Linked DNA regions of Coturnix japonica. Each later gene encodes a partner of the first gene's protein in a complex. Links are inferred from orthologs where the notes say so. Each region holds a gene or a part of one and is shown on either strand. Other genes may lie near its edges.

The links. Proteins that work in one complex are often made in the same cells at the same time.
Region 2: the proteins of RAB35 (region 1) and ACAP2 are in contact, whole or in part, in a crystal structure (PDB 6IF3), measured with the Homo sapiens proteins. The link is inferred for Coturnix japonica from reciprocal best matches to the Homo sapiens genes RAB35 and ACAP2. Residues at the interface, in NP_006852.1 of Homo sapiens: Arg3, Asp4, Tyr5, Leu8, Ile41, Gly42, Val43, Asp44, Phe45, Ile47, Lys58, Gln60, Trp62, Phe70, Arg71, Thr72, Ile73, Thr76, Arg79; in NP_036419.3 of Homo sapiens: Val715, Ala718, Asn719, Ala720, Asp721, Val723, Thr724, Arg727, Leu728, Arg730, Met731, Glu734, Met735, Ser738, Glu748, Thr749, Gln751, Arg755, Asp756, Gln759, Met760.

Annotation. Positions count from the first base shown.
Region 1 is NC_029530.1:8,409,475-8,413,795, reverse strand, and holds the start of RAB35 (ras-related protein Rab-35), read right to left. Parts: upstream 2,907-4,321; 5' UTR 2,852-2,906; coding exon 2,689-2,851; intron 1-2,688. UniProt on the Homo sapiens protein: The small GTPases Rab are key regulators of intracellular membrane trafficking, from the formation of transport vesicles to their fusion with membranes.
Region 2 is NC_029524.1:10,923,429-10,927,074, reverse strand, and holds part of ACAP2 (arf-GAP with coiled-coil, ANK repeat and PH domain-containing protein 2), read right to left. Parts: intron 2,292-3,646; coding exon 2,233-2,291; intron 1,724-2,232; coding exon 1,540-1,723; intron 108-1,539; coding exon 63-107; intron 1-62. UniProt on the Homo sapiens protein: GTPase-activating protein (GAP) for ADP ribosylation factor 6 (ARF6). Doesn't show GAP activity for RAB35.

The DNA of each region.
Region 1 (4,321 bases):
CATATATAGAAGCTGAAGGTGGTGAGACACTGGAACAGGTTGCTCAGAGAAGCTGTGGATGCCTTGAGGCCCTGGAAGCACTCAAGGCCAGGTTGCATGGGGCTGTGAGCAACCTGCTCAGTCCCTGACTATAGCAGGGGGTTGGAACTGGATGGTCTTAAAGGTCCCCTCCAGCCCAAAGCACTTTAAGCTCCTACGAATATTTCTTCTCTGTTCACATCTGAAGATAGATGTCAGCAAAAAAATGGAACAAAATCCAAGGGAAAAAATAATAATAAATAAAAAATAAAATAAAAAATAAAAAACCACAACCAAAACCAGCATTATACCAGTAAACCAGATCTCAACAGCACTTTAAGTCACCATACATTCAGAGATGGTTTACTCATTTCTCATTAAGGAGAGGGGGAAAAAAACCCACAGACATAGCACATATATATTGAAGATATGTCTCAGAGCTCAAAAAAGGCAGCAGAGCAGCTCCCAAACTTTAATAACACACTAGTTCTTTAGGAAGAGCTAATCCCATGCAAAGTGCCAGTCAGCTTAAAGAAGAAGAAAATACAAGTCTTCAGCAAGTACCCTGCTCTCTCATCAAACCGCCTTCGCCTCCAGCTTAATAAAAAGAAAATAGACGCTGGAACCCACAGACATGTCAGACCACAGCACTTTATGAAGAGGCCAGCCAGCCCCAAGCTATGCTGCAGAGCTGCATGGGCTGCACATGACCACTGCTCCGTCAGCCCGTGCACTGCAGTAGAGACTCAACCTCATGCACAGCTCTCAGCTGGCTTCCAAAGAAGAGAAGCCTCCCGAGCTCAGCAAGTTCCTTAAGCTCCAGATGACAACGATCACACTGAACATACGCTGCCCCTGACCCGCATGCTGCAAGTGCTGAGAAACCACACTCTTCTTCATCCTCTGCTTCCTACATAGAGTTATTTGAAGATCTGAAGGGAGAAGGATAACAGGGCTCCTGTCTTGCTGCAGACAGTCAAATGAAACAAAACACAAACAGCCTACTGACTTGGCAAAATCAACATTAAAAGCAAATTTCTGAGCCCTGTTGGTTTCTAAAACCCGTATCTTACTGAGCAGTGAAGCAAATTAAAAAGCACAAATGAAGTGACACACACACAAAGCACTGATCATCCGGGTTATTTTTAAACGTTTGGAACAACTGAGATTAACAGCAGCTTCTCCAGACGACGTGATCTAAAAACACACAAACCTACTACCCTGGACAAATTTGCTTACAGAGGAAAGTGGATGAAACACTATCATTCACCCAGATATCAGTCCACTTCCTATTACAAGGCCTTTCTGAACAGCAACAAACAAGGCGAACAGATTGATGTGTGGAAGCAGGGACAAAGCATTACTGTTGTGGTAAGCAAAAAAAAAAGAAAAAGGAAAATCAATCTCCAGATTACACAGTGAGATTTAATTACAGCAAAAGAGAACCTCATACAGCCAGACCGTTCTTACAGCACTTTTCTCCTCTCTGGATGCAGCACAAGGACTCTGCACAGTATGACTCAGCTCAGACGTTCCATTTAATTGTTCAAGACAAGTGGAAGCCTTCCTCAGAGTTTTCACCATCCTGTTTATCTTGCCTGAACAGTTTGGAACTCATCAGCAAGCAGCAGCGTTACTGCTTTACTCAGAAAGCAGCATTTGGTTTTAATAATCCACGAGCTCTCAGAAGTGCCCAGGGTTTTAAGCTGTTCTGAAGCTCTCAGCCTTTCTTCCCATTCCCGTCTTAAAAACAGCCTTTTCCTTCTTGCAGACACAGTTTAGCATAGAATAAAATATTTTTACATACAGCAAAAGCTTCTGGAGATGACAACTGCCAAGAGCGAGCAACGCTGCGTGCTGGGACCTGCTGCCTTATGGACCACACCTCTATTAAAAGAAGAGGGTGGATGCCATCTACTCCGGCTTATGGAAATGTAACTGTGAGCTGCTGGAGGGTTACCAGCACTGAATGGGACCGAGGGTGGGATGGATCTCCCAGCCCCACATCCTAGTCCAAAGCACTGGGCACAACCTGAGCTCACCGCCGGCCCTCCAGAAGTTTCTGAAAGTGCTGTAGAATCATTCAATGGTTTATTTCCAAAACGTGTAACGACCCTTTCTCTGCAGCTCTCCCAGGTATTTACACACATACCAGGACTACAAACGCTTCGATCTCATCAAGGATTTAAAGAAACGTCGAACTCCAGAACTGAGATTTCAGGCAGTCCCGAGGGACGGCTCGGTTAATAACGAAGAATTAACAGCGAAGAGAAAGCGGCGACTGCTGCAGTGCAAGCAACACTGCCGGGGCCTTTATCTCGGCCACCTCAGGAGGGAACTCCCTCCCATCCCGACAGCGACCATCCTGCGCCCCACACACACCGATGTCACCCACCCTTGGCTGTGGCTGTGCCGCTCACCGCAGCATCCCGCACAGCGCTGCGGTCCCCACAGGGTGACACAGCCCCAACCCCCCCACACATACACCCACATACACACACACATACACACATACACACACACACACACATATACACACATACACACACATACACACACACCCCGCCGGGCCCAGCCCGGCCCCGCCGCCCCCCTCAGGCCCCGCCGCGCCGCGCAGCCCCCGCCCCTCAGTGCCTAAAGGCCGGGGAGGGTCGGGCCGCGAGCCCTCACCGCTGTCGCCGATGATGAGCAGCTTGAAGAGGTGGTCGTAATCCCGGGCCATGGCCGGGAGCGGCGGGAGCGCGGCGGGAGGGAGGAGGGGGAGGGGACGGCGGCGGGCCCGGATCCACTTCCCGAACAAACAGCCGGAACTGACAGCGGCACAACCGCGCATGCGTCTGAGCGCCGCCGTAGGCCTCCAGCTGCGCCGGCACGCCGCCGCGCATGCGCAACGTCTCTCCCTGCGGCGCGTGCGCGCAGCCCGCCCAACGCGGCTTTGAGCTGCGCATGCGCGCTTTCCCTGAGCTGGGTGGGGCGGGGCGGTGCCGCTGGTTCTCCTCAGGACGCCATGACAGCGCCGGGAGGGGAGTGAGCGCCCAGCCTGAGTCCAAGGAGAAGTGATAAGAAAAAGCCAGGACCGGCGGCATCTTCAACCTGGGGTTCGACTCTTGGGGGTTTAATGCAGAGATCTGCTTATGATTGGGGTAAGGAAGGGCGCTGTCACTTAGGTGGATGCTGACCAGAGGTGCGCTGGTCTCTCTGTGGTTTCTTTTCCACAGGAGCGTTTCTTTGTGTTGGTGTTTGGACTCCGTTATTCAGGACTTCGTTATTTTTCAGCTCAAAAATAAGCGACAACAGACAACACAAGTCCTTCAAAATAATTCCTCCGCCAATTCGTGTTTAGCAGAAGTTCGAACCAAAATAATGACTCCGTTTAATTAAAATATGTGTAACATTAGAAACATCAGCTTTACAGCTCACTGACAGAAGCATCTCATTAGCATGCACTGGGCTTCCAAGTGAGAGCTGGATCAGCTCTGAAAGAACACAATCTTTGCCATCAGCTGAGCCTACAAAGACCCTCAGGATGTACCTGCAGCTTTTGGTGACTAAAAAGCTGCAGATTCTTCTGGGTAGATGCATCTGAAAACAAACCAAGCCAGTATGGCTAAAATAGCATCTCTAGAGTGAATAGCATCTCTAGGGTCAATAGCATCTGTAGGGTGAATGGCATCTGTAGGCGTTGCCTAATAGAATACTTCTGATTGAAAACACAACTATGCTTTTAGTTAGGAACATTCCTTGATCTTAACCTACAGAAAAGTGTTCTGGCCTTCAGAGCTCAGCCCTGTCACGTCCTCATCCTGAAATCCATTTGCACCACCTCCATGTCATGATCCTATGCAATGGACTTTACAGTTCACATGTGTAACACACCACACCCAGGCTGGAGTGCTACCAGACACAAGCGTGTGCAGTTCTGCTTTGATACCCACAGAAACACTGTTGGAGAAGGGTTTGCAGCTAGTCCAAGCCCAATCCAGGTCAAAGGCAACATCTCCTGTCTATCTTATCTATACAGCATTTTAGCAGCCCATCAAATAACACATCCCCCCATGTCACGATAACCTGTGTCTCCTTCTACCATTATTTTTAAGCTTATGAAAGCCCATGTAGAAAGCGTAAGAAAGGGGTCATTTTGCCAAATAAAACACTGTATGCAACTGGGTGACTTACCTTTAAAAACTATCGAATGTTTTGTTTTCACATCTGTCTCTTTTCCTCCGAATTTTTTTAACACCTTGTAAGATAAAACATCGCGCTTTCATTTGTGATCTTCTTGAAATACACACAGTTCAGCTGT
Region 2 (3,646 bases), on another chromosome or scaffold:
GCAGTCATTTATCATGTTGATGTATTCAAATATATCCTATACAGAAATTAAAGCATATTTACCGATTTTAAGATTTCTGATCTTCTTTTAGATTGGAGAACATTGATCTAAAAAAAATAAAATCAAATCAAAAGTTGCTGATTTTCTCTCACAGAGATAAACTTCAGATTACTGCCAAATAAACATATCAAAGCTTAAGACATCAAATATGTGATTTCACGTGGCGCTTCTAGAACTGCAGAAGCTGTATGAGAGTTTTTTAATGATTCTGAAGTGATGCAATCATAGAAAGCTTGCAACCCTTGATTTCTACAGTGATAGTCACAACTTTCCTGGGCAAGAAGAGAAAATTAAGACAGCACCCATTATCTAGAAGGAATACAATAAACCTCTGAAACAAGGAAAATTTGTACTCGTTTTCAAGAAACTGAATCGAACATTTCAAATCCTTTTTTTTGACAGCATGAGCTCATCCTGCTCACCAACCCCTCAAACACGCTGCTGGCAGCATCACTGCCTTCTGCGTCTAGAGACAAAGAATGGACTGGGCCACGCTTATTTTTCCCTTCAGCTGATGCTTTCTAAAGTGTTCCAAAACTGGGATACACCCCCAGCTACTGAAACAAGCAAGGTCACAATAACTTCAGTCACATTTTGCATACATTTGTACTTTTAAGCTGGCTGAAGTAACTAGCCAATGGTGTTGCCCCACAGCTTGGGATATTTCACTTTATATAGATAAAAGGATGGATTTAATTTTTGACATTCACTTAATTTTATCTTCTTTGTCTCCTAATCCTCAAAGCTGTCATCCAGACCTGCCTTGGCTTTAAAGGCTGCATACAATGGGAAGAAAAAATGTGTAATTTTGTAATTCAGCACCTCCGTATCAGTTCAAAGATTCCAGCAGCAGGAAAGCTTTACTGAAGCTATAATCAAAACCAGACTGTCATTCTACACCAAAACCAGAACGTAGTTCTATAGTTCCACAGTTTGTATTGTAGAAAACTGTCTGCAGTGAAAATAATTAAATTCATACAGAACAACCCCCCAGCTCAAGGGATAAAATAGGAAAGCAAGGGATTTGAAATGCAGTTCAAAGTCAATACAGCTGCAAAGAGGCTGTTATTGTGAAGCCTCTCTTCCAGCAGAAAAGAGTCATCCAAGCAGAAGGGATTCCTAAGGGTGAATTCATTTTTCGCCTGCATTAATTAAGAGATGCTGAAACTTTGCCTTGCTACTATAAAGGCACCTTTATCATAGGAACTGTACGATGTTAGAACATACAAATTCCAAAAGACAAATGAGCTGTAGGTCAATGGGCACAAGGACCCAGTCTACAGCAACGGCTGCCAATCTCCCCACACCCCTCCTGTAGGTTACACTGCCACACCAGAACCATTTGTGTCACTTGTATTTGCTAGGCTAGGCTACAGTTTATATTTTAATTATTTAAGGAACTACAGCATAGCAAACTTACAAAATACATTTAGGTCAGAAGTGTCAAGTTTGAAAAGACAGCATTATTGCTGCACTGACCTGAAGAACATAATCCAGAGCTATGTGCCGAAAACATTTCCGTGTTGCAGTCAAAATATTGGTTGCTTCCTCTACTTCATGTTGTTTATTTCTTTGAACTTGGGCATTTTTCACTAGAGCGTTCTCCTTTTCTTCGCTAACTTTTTCAAACTGCTTCTTTGCATCTTTGAATTTCTTAATATCTCTGCAACAAAGGAAAGATAGACGGCAAATGAATTCCAAAGCACAAAGGAAGTGTTTAAAGATTCACTAAGCAGCCTGTGTTATGTCTGTTATAGCGTGTGTTAGGCTGTTATAGCTTGTTTCTTTGCTTTCACATTCTCAACAAATGCTGAGATCAAATAAAGAAATCAAAGTCTCACTGCAGCCTCTCTGTCCTCTTACAAGGAACGGAAAAAGTTGGAATTTACATCAATGAATCTCACGCTCAGTGGGAAAAGCTTTAGTAAGCACTTTTATTCCAAACCTGGAGAATGACACCAAGTAATTTATGGTTAGTACTTTCAACTATTTCCATTGAAACATTTCTGCAGCTGAAACAAAAGCCTCTCAGATTTTGAGTGATGTCTGATAAACTCATATACGCTCTTCTCAACTTATTGCTGGTGAGATGTTTCACCCACTCACTCATATCAGATGCTTTTAATTCAGTTTTATCTATGCTTTTCCCATAACAAGTGCAAATTTACTTACTCTTTAACAAAAGTCTGAAGCTGTGCCTTAATTGATCTTTGCGTCTGGTCAAACAGGATCTGAAAGAAAAGCATTAACACATACTTCAGTAACTTCAGGATATTCACTTTTCATTTTTGAGATGCACATCAACAGTGTTTATGAATCCCTACATCCTGTAATGGAATTGCATTCACCAAAGCAATACAGAAAAATCTAGCAAATGATGTCAGAACAGACACGTACCTCATGTTCCAGCCTGTTCTGATGGCACCTGGACTCAAGTCCAAGCGCAGTGAGGATGGCATTACAATCTCTTCACACAGGCTCACTAACCCAACTTAGCTTTGACCCACATTATAACTCAAATACGGTTTTTGTCTTTTAAAGATGACTGGCAGTCCCTGTATTGCTGCTATGCTGAGCTTTATGCTTGATTGTGACATCCTGATTAAGTCAAAAGAATACAGAGAAGTGGCTGTCCAACTGAACACAACCTGTTCCAAAATGTAAAGATTTAAGTGTGAAATAATCTTACTGAAAGAACAAGTCACAAATTCAGTTTGAGTCTTAGTCTCCCTATACACTAGACCTAGGAATAAAAACAAACAAACAAAATCAACCATGCAGTACCAAGTACCGCAGAGCAATCCCCTTAGCAGCTTGTTTGTTCCTCCTTTAAGAAAACACTGAAGGAAGGAAAACACAACCGAGTCCAAGCTCACATTGACAGTGGTACTACATCCACTATTTCATCTCCATTTTTGATAGTTTTCAAGACAAAACAGGACAGAAACACTCAGCCTGACCCAACCTCACGGTTGACCCCATTTGAGGCAGGCAGACAGACCAGCATCTCCCGAGGCCTCATCCAACCTGAATCTAACAGTAAGACAAGGAGCATCCAGAAAACGCTGTTTGTATTTTCCCATTGGAAAAAGCAAAATACCAGATAACTAGAACAGATAAAGCACTTCTTTACAAGCTGGAAATCACAGTGGGACTACTCCCACAGCTGACATTTAAGTGTGCCAGAGCCTGAGGATTGCACCAATCAAGATCAATACACAACGAACACAACCAGATGGCAACTCCACCGATGACTGGACTCCCAGAAGCATAAGCCTTGCAATTCTACTTACAGTAATGAGGAAGCAGGAGGAAAAAAATGTTAGGGGAAAAATTAAAAAAAAAAGAAGCATGTTTTTCCTCAAATGAACAGAAAACACAGCCCAGACCATCATTTCACCAGACTTACAGCCTTCCCAACACGTTACCTTTCACTCCAAATTTGAGAAAGCTGCTGTTTGCTACAAGCTGTTAAAGCTACTGTGCCACCGCCAAATCTGCACACGTCACATCAGTCTGGGTCTCAGCCTTTTTTGTAGCAAAGACACATACTGATAAACTGGCAGTAATCCCCATCTCAGTGGGA